Linked DNA regions of Canis lupus familiaris. The protein of the gene in region 2 purifies or fractionates together with the protein of the main gene of each other region. This does not show direct contact. Links are inferred from orthologs where the notes say so. Each region holds a gene or a part of one and is shown on either strand. Other genes may lie near its edges.

The links.
Region 1: the proteins of WWC1 (region 2) and AMOT purify together in Homo sapiens (affinity purification with mass spectrometry; 3 studies listed by BioGRID and IntAct, with this or other methods). This does not show direct contact. The link is inferred for Canis lupus familiaris from reciprocal best matches to the Homo sapiens genes WWC1 and AMOT.
Region 3: the proteins of WWC1 (region 2) and PTPN14 purify together in Homo sapiens (affinity purification with mass spectrometry; 7 studies listed by BioGRID and IntAct, counting the BioPlex papers as one, with this or other methods). This does not show direct contact. The link is inferred for Canis lupus familiaris from reciprocal best matches to the Homo sapiens genes WWC1 and PTPN14.

What each region holds. Positions count from the first base shown.
Region 1 is NC_049260.1:86,453,526-86,457,167, forward strand, and holds part of AMOT (angiomotin), read right to left. Parts: intron 2,871-3,642; 5' UTR 2,809-2,870; coding exon 1,937-2,808; intron 1-1,936.
Region 2 is NC_049225.1:44,320,732-44,324,886, forward strand, and holds the start of WWC1 (protein KIBRA), read right to left. Parts: upstream 2,902-4,155; 5' UTR 2,840-2,901; coding exon 2,721-2,839; intron 1-2,720. UniProt on the Homo sapiens protein: Regulator of the Hippo signaling pathway, also known as the Salvador-Warts-Hippo (SWH) pathway.
Region 3 is NC_049228.1:12,374,982-12,379,198, reverse strand, and holds the start of PTPN14 (tyrosine-protein phosphatase non-receptor type 14), read left to right. Parts: upstream 1-1,375; 5' UTR 1,376-1,468; intron 1,469-4,217. UniProt on the Homo sapiens protein: Protein tyrosine phosphatase which may play a role in the regulation of lymphangiogenesis, cell-cell adhesion, cell-matrix adhesion, cell migration, cell growth and also regulates TGF-beta gene expression, thereby modulating epithelial-mesenchymal transition.

The DNA.
Region 1 (3,642 bases), on a different chromosome or scaffold from region 2:
TTCCTGTAAATTATATGCAGCTAAATTTCTCTGGTGGTTTAATCAGTATGGCAAGAAAAAAAATCCCTCTGTGGGCTCCTTATTATTTATTTAGGCAGATCAAAGGGCTTTTCCATCTAGCTTCAAACACTGTGGGAGTCATTTCAGATTACAGACAATACTGGTGAATGAGTTCTGAAAATAGCTTTCCTGGGAAGGCGGGCCTTGTGCTAAGCAGGGCTTCAGATTCTGCTCCACACCCCAGCCAACATACTCCCCTCCCACAAGGCAACAGACGTCAGCCCATCCACATAAAGGACAGAGTCCCACTGACTCTTACATGCTGATGGGAAGAGTAAAACAAAAATCCTCAGCTTCATTGACATTTTGCTGGCTTGAATGGGTTTCCACTAAGCTAAGCAGTCCAAATGACCAACCCCTCCCTCGGTCTTCCGCTTCATTGGGCAGATGGGAATCAGGTTCTCGCTCTCATTTAAACCGGAAGTGCCCTGTCCATTGCCCCATTTCCTGTTCTAAGCCACTTATCAGAACTTAGGCTCCTGCCCTTTAAAGCTGCACACAAGAGGTTGAAAAAGGTTAGGAAATCAACCTTGGTTAAGAGGGAAAAAAAAATCCTAAACTGGACAAGTTATGGGTGGAGCCCAAAGTGAATTGCTTCTGGCTGTAAAACAGGACAGGGGTGGGGAGGGTGGGGAGGTGGGGGGTGATGAAATACCAGGAAATTCCAAGGTGCATTCCCTTATTCCCTTACCTTCACCTTACTCCCACCCCCTGACTGCCTTCTCTCCTGAGTCACTCAATGAATTTCAAGCCAAGCGGTTCTTTCCCAAATAAGTGAAGAGACAGGAGGCAAAGAGTTAGATGTCAGAGAGATCACAGGCCTGATCTGGAAAAAGCACCCCCACCCACCCAGGTCCAGGGACTTCAAACCTCAGTTATCCATAATTACCCAAGGTAACAGGACAGGAATACCACATAAAACTGTCACCGTTGTTGGCCACAGTGGAATCCTTTCCTCTGCCCCATATGCTGAATGACTACCGATCAGAGACATGGCCCCAACAGTAACAACAGGAACAACAAACAGAATCATGGAATCGTAAGGTCTGGTCGATACAGCACTGGGACAATGGGCCTCCAAATCCTGCAGAAGTACATTTAGGAATAAGTGAATAACATGAAATTGTCCTCCTGAACCAATGACAAGTAGCAAAGAAGTCATGGGGATATTATTCTCTCTGCATCTTAGAATCTGACCCAAAGTTCTATGTAACATGATGGGAGTTTAATTTAGTTGTCCAAAAACATGGCAGGCAACTAACAAATGCTCTATGGAGGAAAGACGGAGCAGCCCAGAGTTCATGAACTGCAAGGATGTCCAAGGCAAGTGACATTCTGAACCTGCACATATCCGGCTCCCCCCACAGTAATATCTAGGTGTTGGTTTAGTGTCCGAAAGAATCATAGTAATTCTGCAGAATGATTCGTTCCTAAAAAGAAGTGATGAGCATTCTGTGGAGGGGAATAACTGACAGGGATACGATATTCCAGATTAACGTTCAAGATAATTTGCTTCTGCTCCTCAAGGTAGGGCTTAACAACTCACAAGAAGAGGAACACGGACCCTTTCTTCACAATCCCAGGAGATAGGACAGCATATAGCTGTAGAAACCAAGACTTGCGTTCCTGTTCATCCACTAGGCAATTGGGGCCATGCTCAACCTACAAAGTCAGGGGAATGTTACTACAGCACTAATTATGGCTGAAGGGGCTAGAAATTCAGATTCGCAGGAAATTTACTAAGCCAGGGGCCAGCCATGCACTGCAGAGTTTCTTATACCAAACACCTGCCCATTTCTTCCCTTAAGATTCCCAACACACAGCAGAAGCTGGTTGGGGATGAGGCCAGGAAATGACAGAAAGGGAACTCTCTTACCTGGCTGCTCCATACTCAGGGGGATGCTGATACCTCATCAGTTGCCCCTCTGTTCTCCCTGGCTGGTTCAGACGATGCTCACTATAGAAGTGCCCTGCCTCTTGGGGCTTGCACACTACAGACTGGGGTGGCATGCCCTTGAAGGGATACTCTGGTGGGGGGCCTCGATGTTCCATGCCCTTCAGGCTATGCTGGCTGGGAGGTGGCCCCTGGGCCTTGTAGAATTCACTGGAACTTGTGGGAGTCTTGTAGAGGTCACTGGGTTGTGGTGGGGAGAGGGGAGCGCTGGTAACAGGTGGATGGGCCTTAACTCCACTGGTGGCCAATGACATCTGCATTAGTCGTTCACTCAAGGAGCGGACATGTCCTTGCTTAAGATCTCTGAGTCCTTCATCCTGGTGCATCTTCCCAGGATTGAGCCGCTGAACTGATGGGCGTCCCTCAGTCCTCATCTTCTGGTTGGTCACTCCGGTGACATAGAAGGCAGCTCCAACACTGGCATGCTGTTGGCCCCGAAAGTATTGGGACTGGACCTTGGCTTCTTCATAGGTTGGGAGTTCTTCATTATTCTGCATTCTAGGGGAAAGCTGCTTCTCCATGATGATGTTTTCTGCCTGGATTTCCTGCCCCTGAGGTTCTTGTCGAGCAGCATGAGCCACAAGCTGTTGGTGGTGGTCTTGGGGACTCAACACATCATTCTGAGGGCCTGGGTTCCCACTGCTACTGGGAAAAGGAGGGCCATTCCCTGTGGCTTGCTGGTGTATGGCAAGCAGGTTGCGATTCTCATTGGGATTGCCATAGCGAAGCTGCTCTTGTAGCAGACGCTGCAACACTGTGGTTCCTCCACTTGGCTGTTCTTCAGAATTTCTCATCTCTATTGCTGGTGGTGCCTTGTGAAGAGAGAGAGAAATTGGGCACCTGGGCTGCCCTTGACCTGGGAAGGGGAAACAGGAAGCTTAACACCCAGTTGATGGATAAATCATTCCTCTAAAGGGGAAGAAAATGGGTATTTGGGGGTGAGGATTCCACTCCAGAGACAAAGTAGAGAATTGAATCTAGAATTAATGGATTAATTGTTGGTGACTCCTGGCTCTACCATTGATATGATGAGGAACTCAGGGGCATAAGAGCTCATTGTTTCCTCTTTTTGCTTTTAGCATGAGTTAAATATCCAATCTTGACTTAACTTCTACGAGAACTGGGGAGACCTGGAGCAGTCGGGGAGGGTGACCAGAGAGGGCAATTTTCCTAGGTCCTTACTCAGAAAGTTCATCTCTCTGTATTCTATTTAAATAAAAGGTCCAACTCTTATGGGCCGTGGGACTTGGGGCAGGCCAGTAGGGAGAATGTATAGGCAGGATCTGTAAAGCAGGTCATCATGTGGAGGGAGCTACAAAATGCCAAATAATAACTAAAATAAATACAAGGTGACGAGAGCTTCGCTTGCACCATATAGAAATGATCCCAGCTTGATGCAACTCGTTTTCTCTGATCTCATAAAACTCTGAAACATAGCTTTAAAAAAAAATCCTTTCTGTATTGTCCATTTTGGATTCGCCTTGGCTTAATAAGAGAAGGGCTTGAGATAATTACTATTGACAAAGTTTCTCTTTCAGCCATCCAGGAATAGTCATTGAGGTTTTTTGGTTTTTGGTTTTTGCTGTTGTTGTTTGGCTAGGAGGAGCTTAAATGGGAAGCCCTCTTTC
Region 2 (4,155 bases):
AATCCAGTATGGGAGGGATGACCAGAAGGTACAAAGATGCATTAAAACCAATTATTTGCAAGGTGAAGAAAGTGAGAGGCTCAGTTAAATGCCACTATGTTCTTAATTCCTCTCCAATACTTGTCAATCTGCCTAAAAAACAAAGGCTGGGCATACCTGTTGCTGGGTATGGGCAAGCTACCGTACAGAGCTAAAATATAATGGCACTGGGTTGTTGGTTTTTTTTCCCTCCACTGTTTTTTTTTTTTTTTTTTTGAAGATCCTTTCTATTTATGACAACAGATAATACTAGTTTCCCATTTGTGAAAGTGGTTAAAAATTTTTCATACTGAGGGGCACCTGGGTGGTTCAGTCAGTTAAGCATCTGCCTTTGGCTCAGGTTATGATCCCAGGGTCCGGGGATTGAGCCGCATGGTGTGCTCCCTGCTCAAAGGGGAGCCTGCTTCTCTCTCTCCCTCTGCCCCTCTCCCCACTCATTCTCTCCCTTTCTCTTTCTCAAATAAATAAAATCTTTAAAAAAATTTTCACGTTTAGTTGATTTAAAGTCAAATATTAAGTAAGCAATGGTACAAGTCAATATAGCAGAAAATCATTATGGTGGTTCATATGGTACTAAAATTTGAAAAATAATACTCTAGCCAAGTCAATTTTCCACTTGTCCTTTTCCAGGGGTAGAAAATTACCTGTTGTTTGAGAAGCTTTCTAGAGCTGTATTCCTCTCAGAGCCCCAGAGAAGTCCCTAGATTCACAACCGAGGGTGAGTTAGCAACGCTGGGTGTGGGGCTGTCCTAGTCCTCTGACATGCAACTGCTGACAGCACACTGGCCTCAGTAAGTTGCAAGGACCAAAACCAGGCAGGAAACAGAAGACTGAACTTATGTCTCTTCTGGAAGAGAACAAGGGGCTGCCCAGTTCTCCAACACGTAACAGCGTCCCTGGGACAGATGACCCTGAGTGGGGCAGGGAAGAGAAGTGAGTCAGGACAAATCTGGAGGTTAGAACTTCAGAGATGGTAAAGAATCTGGCATATGGTGAGTGGTGGAAAGATGAAGATATTCAAGTAAGTCACACCTCTGGACCTCAAATTTTCTCTTATGTTTGAAAATAAGAGCTGGGCTCTGATCATCTATGTCCCTTCCAACTTTCAGAGTTCTACGATTACTTCTCTTCCAAACAAACCATTAATCTGACCAACGGGGAACCTGAGGCTCAGAGGTTAAAGCAGCTTGCTCATGGGATGCTTTCTCTAGCATTAAAAATTTATCTTCCAATGCCACCAGACTGACTCAGTTGGTAGAGCACCCGAATCTTGATCTCAGAGTGGTTGAGTTCAAGCCCCACAATGGGCAGAGAACTTTTCCTTTTTAAATTTCTCTTCTAAATTATATCAAAGAGGCATCCAGCGTGGTACTGAGAATAAAGCAAGCACCCAAGAAATGTTAAATGAGTGAACTTAGAGCGCTCACAGAAATTACGGGGCATCTCAATTCAAATTTTCTTTCTGCCTTTTTTTAAAACCCACACCTTGCTACACACCCCATCTTGGACTTCTGGGACCTGCATCCCAACCCTACAGGTCGAAAGATCCAAAAAATTCACCTCTATTGCGTTACAGGCACCTGACACTCAAGGTCGCACAGACCAGGTGAACATTCCACATTCCTAAGACACTGACCACAGACCAAGCCAACAAGGACAACAAAGCAATCTCAGAGGGTGGTCCTCTTCCTCCCCTTCTTCCCCCCACCCCTACATGGGGAGGGTGTGTGCAAAGAAATGACAAGCAATCAAAACCGGGAGAAAGTCTGGAAGCTCTGAGCAGTCACCTCAGACTCCACCTGCCACAGAAAAAATAAAATAGAATCCGTGCTACAGTCGCTTGGTGCCCACCAAGGTCAGGACGCGCTGGTGCAGGACTGAGGAGTCTCGGTCCCCAGAGGAAGAAAGGGTGGAGAACGAGGTGATGGGCAGGGCTTTGTGGGAGGCCTCTCACCTCCATCTATATCCTAACAGCTTCCAAGTTGCTCTAAGATTCCTGGAGAACCAGTCTTCCGATCAGCCCTCCCCCGCCCTCTTCCTTTCCTTCCCACTCCCGGCCTCCAGGCCCCCTGGCTGCTCCCGTGCTCTTCCCCGAGCCTCCCAGGCACCTGTCAAAGACCACACTCCAGGCTGCCTTCCCCTCCGCCTAGTGTCCTTCCAGCAGTTTCCCACTGAATCCTGGGTCCCTACTACCCCCTCCAAACCAGATGCTTCCCCATCTCCCCCCGGCCCCACACACACACACACTGGGGAAAGCCTCTCCGGGAAGCCCCAGAAACGCTCCGCTAGGCTGCTGCCCCAGCCCCCGCCCGACCTCGTCCTAAAGGGGGCGGGGGAGGCGGGGCTAGAGCTTAAGGTCAAAACTCTGGGCAGGTGCCGGCTGGGGCCTAAGTCCTCCATCGGGGACGGCGGCGGGGGCCGCCCGGGCCCCTGGCCGCGCCCCCCTCCAGCAGCCCACCCCGGCGGGAGCAGCGCTCCAGACGGCGGGCGATGGGGATGGGGACGTGGATGGGGACGGGGGCGGGGGGGGGGGGCGAGGGCGGCGGGGGGGCGGCCAACTGAAGAAAGCGCAAGCGGCTCGCAGAGTTCCCCGGCGGCCCCTGCCCGGTCCCCGCGGGTGGCCCCTGGGGCAAGAGGGGGCCCGGGCGGAGCGCGCGGTGTGGGGCTCCCCGGGGCCCTACCTGTCCCGCGGGTCGATCCAGCTGGTGGTGCGGCTCGTGTGGTCTATGTAGTAGACCTTGCCGTCGAAGTCGCGCGCCTCCTCCCAGCCCTCCGGCAGGGGCAGCTCCGGCCGGGGCATCTTCCCGAGCGCGGCCCGCGCTCCCCCATGCAGCTCCCGGCCGCCGCGGGGGCCCCGGCTCAGCGGCTCCGGCCGGCCGTGCCCAGCCCGGGCGGCCGCCGAGGCACCATGATGGGGGGGGAGGCTGGCGCCCGCGGACTGGGGGCCCTAGTGGGGGCCGGCCCGGGCGGCGCCGCGGTCCATGCGGCCCTGCGGCTCCGGCCCGCCGCTCCCGGGCTCCCGCGCTCCCGCCGCCGGCCTCTCACGCTGCCATGTGCGCCCGCCGCGGCGCGGTGCGGGCCCGGGGACGCGCCCGGCCGGCGGGGCAGAGCGAGCCGAGCGCCGCCGCCTGCTCCCCGCCGCCTGCTCCCCGCCGCCTGCTCCCCGCCTGCTCCCCGCCGCCTGCTCCCCGCCGCCGCCGCCGCCCCCTGGCCGGGCGCCCGAGCCCTCTCCGCCGCTCTGCGCCGCGCCGCTCTGCGCCCGCTCGGCGACTCCGGCCTCCGCCAGGTGCGGCTCGGGCCGTGCAGGTAACCGCGCTGCCCCGGAAACGGGAGGCGGAGCGCCGGGCGCCTGGGCTCCCGGGTCCCCTCCCCGCGCCCGGCGCTGCGAGGGCGGATCCTAGGACCCGAGACGCGCCCCCTCGTGGGACTGTCCGGACCGCCCGCAGCCCCGGTAGCCGGGAGGGGGCACCGCCCCTTACCTGGGCCCCGGACGCGCGCGGGGGCCCGGGTGGCCCGAGCAAGACCCGCTCGCCGCTGCTTCCCCGCGCTCCCGGCTCTCCACCTCGCGCCTAGGCTCTTGGTGCAGGTGGCCCCAAACCCTAAAACTCCCCGCTTCTCTTTTATGTAGAATCAGGAGCCAGACAAGAAGTGGTTAAATGGAAACATTCTTGCGATTCAGGGAACAGAAGTTTTCCTGGATCTCTGATCCCTTCCCCCAACACACGCACCATCTGTCTCCCTCTCCTTCCATTCTTCTCCCGGTGTGGTTTCACTGTCTCCTCTACCCTCGTAGTTGCTAATGTAGCTGGCTGTCCTCTGGGTCCCTAAAACTTGGAGTATATGCTATGAATCCCCTCCCCCCGGGGCGGCATCCAAGGGGTGCCCGGGGAAGCCTTTTGTAAAGTAACAGTAACAGGGTCTTGTGAACTGAATGGAGTCCTTAGCCCGTCCCAGGCGGGAGGCTAGCAGCGTCATGTGTGCTTCCGTCCTATGATACTTGGAGGTAGGTACGTTATGGATTTGAGGGAAGAAGAAAGCAAAGCAAAATTCCATTTTGAAAACTATTAGAAGAAATTTTAAAATCAGTATTTCTTGAGAAATTAAAGATATGTAATT
Region 3 (4,217 bases), on a different chromosome or scaffold from region 2:
TGGGACGCACTGTCCTTGCTCACGGTCTGAGCGCGCAAGCCGCGGCCTCTGCCCCGCCCCTGCGGTTCTGGAAGGTCTAAGGGGGATTTCTTTTTTTTTTTTTTCCCCTTCCCTTCCCTTCCCTTCCCGCCCCCGTCCAGGTCCGGGTCCCGGTCCCCGCCCCCACCCCGCCCCCGCCGGGAGCGGCGCTAGGCAGTGCCGGCCGCGGGCGCTTGTCCTCCTCCGCTCCCGCGTCCCGGGCTCCCGGGAGTGTCACCCGTCCTCCCTCCCCAGCCGTCACCTTTCAACAGTTTCCCCAAAGCCACCGCACCGCCGGCGCGCGGCTGCTCCCGGGCCTGCACGGGGAGCTCCTGCCGCCCGGCATTCCTCGGATTCCAGCGCCGTGACGTCCCCGCGGCCGGCGCGCCTGCAGCCCGGGAGCCCCGGCTCCGAGTTTCGGCGCTGCCCCGCGCCCCACGCCCGGCGCCCCGCGCCCCCCGCGCCCACCGCCCGGCGCCCCGCGCCCCGCCGCGCGCGCGCCTCCCGGGCGCATTCCTGCCCGCGCTCCCCCCCCCGCGCCCCGCCCCCGCCTCCGCCGCCCCGCCCGGCCCGGCCCGGGGTGGAGGGTGGGGGGCGGGGGGAGCCGCGGCCGCCGGCGCCTGCTCCGTCCCCTCCCACCGCACGGCCCCTTCCTCCCTCCCCTGCCGGCCGCTCGCATTTCCTGCCGCCCGGGCTCCCGCGGCCCCGGAAAGTTCTGCCCAACTTTTTCTCCGCCGGACGAGCGGGCGCCGCGGGGCGCGGGCCGGGGCAGGTTGCCGCGCTCGCCCTCGCTCGGCCCGGCGGGGTCCCCGGGGAGCAGCCGAGTCCCGGGCGGCGGCGGGCGGCCCTCCCCGCCCACCTCACCCCTGCTCCCGGGCCCCCCGCCCACCTCACCCCTGCTCCCGGGACCCCCCCCGCCCACCTCACCCCTCCTCCCGGGACCCCCCCCGCCCACCTCACCCCTCCTCCCGGGACCCCCCCGCCCACCTCACCCCTCCTCCCGGGACCCCCCCGCCCACCTCACCCCTCCTCCCGGGACCCCCCCCCGCCCACCTCACCCCTGCTCCCGGTCCCCCCCGCCCACCTCACCCCTGCTCCCGGTCCCCCCGCCCACCTCACCCCTCCTCCCGGTCCCCCCGCCCACCTCACCCCTCTTCCCGGCCCCCCGCCCACCTCACCCCTCCTCCCGGCCCCCCGCCCCCTCCCCGGGACTACCCCGGGCTTAGGTGGCTCTCCTCCTCTCCGGGTCGGTGCGCGGGGATCGCAGCGGAAACCTCCCTCCCCTTTCGCCTGCTCCGGCCCCGGCCCCGGCCCCGGCTCCTTCCCCCGCCCTCCTCCGCGGCCACTGGAATCAATTCCTTAGGGAATTGGGGCGCCGCCGCCGCCGCCGCCGCCGCGGGGACAGGCTTTCCGCGCGGGACCCCGGGTCACGACGGGGCCATGTGAGCAGGTAGGCGCCGTCTGCGGCGGGGGAGCCTCCTCGGGCCCCGGGCGCCTGGCCGAGGACCGGGGCAGCCTGGACCGGCGCCGGGAGGCTGGCGGGGCAGCGGGGGCGCGGGGCGGCCGGGCCGCGGGGCCCTGGGTGCTCGCCCTGTCGGGGGTGGAGGTGGCCGCGGGGCGCTGCCTGCGGGTCCGCCGCCGCGCCACCCCCTCGCCCCCTCCTCCCGGCTCCCTCCGGCTGTTTGGGAAGCGAGCGCGGGCCTGGAAAGGGCAGCGGGACGGAGCCGAGCGCTGAGGGCAGAGGGAAGGGAGGAGGACGAGGTTGCTGTGGCTCCAGCGGGACGGGGACGCGGCTCCCCGACGCCCCAGTTCCCAGCGCCTCCTGGGGAGGGGGTCGGGATCCTGGGAGCGAGGGGAGTTTTTAATGCCCTCCCACTAGGCCCCGGCCGTGCCCCCGGACTCCTGGCCTCCTTGGGTGGTCGGTCGGGCTGGCTCGTGGGGAAAGCCTGTGGCCACATAACTTCGCAACAGATCCGCACCTCAAACTTTTCAAAGTTCTGAGTATTCACAAGTTCTGAGGGGGCTGTTAGTACGCCTCTCTGTTCTCCCTGGCGTGATCCCTAAACCTGAGTGTTTGAATACTTGTTAAGTGGATTTTACACCTTGGGGAGGGAGTAGTCTCAGGTACTGGTGCCATCTCCTTAGCATCCCCTTCCGCTTCCTTTGGTTCCTGTCACCCCCCCCCCCCAACCCCAACCCCAACCCCAACCCCAACCCCAACCCCACCTACAAATCAAGGAGATTGTGGGGTTTGCGCTTCAGTCCGTCCTGGAACTGGGTGTTGCAGGCTCTTTGTGAAGATGTGCGGAATCTCTAGACTGCAGGCCGAATATAGGGTCGCAGGGTTTCCACCAATGTGTTAATTTCTTAAACTGGATCAGTTCACCCATTCATTCAGCAAACCTGGTGTTGCGCCTCTACTCTGCTCGGAAAACAGGATGCTGAGATACTTAAACAAGCTGTAACTGCAGCCTCCTGGAGGAAACCCACAGGCTGATGAAGAATTACAGTAGTGAGCGAGCGAGAAGTGCTGGAAGAGGCAGGGAAGGCTTGGTTTTGGAGACGAGGGGTACCGTGTGCCCTGGGTTTATAGGGTTAAGGGAGTGTTTACCTTGCAGGAGTGATCCGGAGAGTGCATTCCAGGTGGAAGAAACAGCTTGTGCAAAATGAAGAGTCATCCAAAAAAAAAAAAAAAAAAAAAGAGTTCAAAAAGCTAGCTATCTGACCCAGCTATTTGGGATATGATAGATATCAGAAATGAAACTAGAAGCGTTTTATCCCCTTACGGTAACCAAGTAGTTTCCAGAGGCGCCTAAGTCTCTCTCTTCGGACACACCTCCTTGTCTGATGCAGTTTCTACAAGCAGCAATTGTGTGACCATCTAAATTTTAATTGGCACTAATTGGCCCATGCCTGTTTTCATTAGAATGGCACTTGATTCCCTTTTAAAGAGCCACTTGACAGCAGTGGGTGATAATACTGCAGCATCACAGAACCTTGCATTAAAGTTGCTTATCTTTTGGGGTTGGGGTTAAAAGCTCCTGTGCTGGAAATGAGTGGGAGCTGCACAGCATGACACTCTTTTTGCCTGATCTGAATGGGTGGCCACAGATGCGCAGAATGAGCCCATGGACGGGTGTCCCTGTGTTTGTCATAGTTTTCTCTACATGTAAATGTCATCAAATGTTGCTTTAGCACACTTGTAAGGATACTTTTCCTTCCTCTGAAACTTTATAAAATCGAATTCTGTTCCATCGGGTTTTGTAGCCTGATGGTCCAGGATTGGGCAGATCTTGCCTAGGAAGGTTCCTTATCAGACGGAAGCACGCTGTACGTGGGTTGCCCTTCAGGGGTGCCTCTTCACTGGGCTGAAGTGGAGTCCTAGTAGTATTCACCGTGGCTGAGGTCCAGCCTCGGTGAACTCAGGCCAGTACATCGGAGGAGCAGAAAAAGAACAACTTGGGGGTGTTTGGCTAAGCCCCTCCACAAACACTTTCTCTTATCTCAAGAACAGCCCCTTGACAGGAGTTTTATTGGAGGTATAGGGCCTGCGTGAGAGACATGGCTGAAGGGAAGCTCTTTCTTGCTAATCCTGGTGCTCGCCCGGCTTCCATCATTGGCTTAGACACAGTTATTATTCACACTTTAGTTATTCAGCTTTGTGCACACTGTGTGGGCCGGACAGCTGTAATGGAAAGAGAACAGTTAGACTATTTTAATATGGAAGAACCTAAAGAATTTCGGAAAAAAATCAGAATTTTTTAGGAGAATTGGTATTTGTCCTGAATGACTGGGCCAGGGGTCAAAAACTATGAGGAGTTTTTTTTTTTTTCCTAATGCCCTCCCTCCTTATTAAGGGTTTATGTGTTTTTTTTTTGTTTTTTTTTTTTTTTTTTTTTTTTGCTCCAGGGAAGCAAACATAAACCCTTTGATTGCACAGTGAACCCCTCCTGGATTCCATATTCTTATTCTTTTTCACCTGCTATGCTGCATTTGAACTTCTAGACTTCGTCACCAATGGTCGTGTAGAATCTGAACTCATTCTGAGCCTCAGAGCTATGCTGTGCACTTCGTTAAAGAGAGAAGGCAAGGGAAAGAGATAAGATGAAATAGTTCATTAGCCAATTAAATCATTACTTGCTTGAGCTGATTAAAAAAGAACGAGAGAAACCAAGTTTTGGTACAGAGAGGATTAAAAA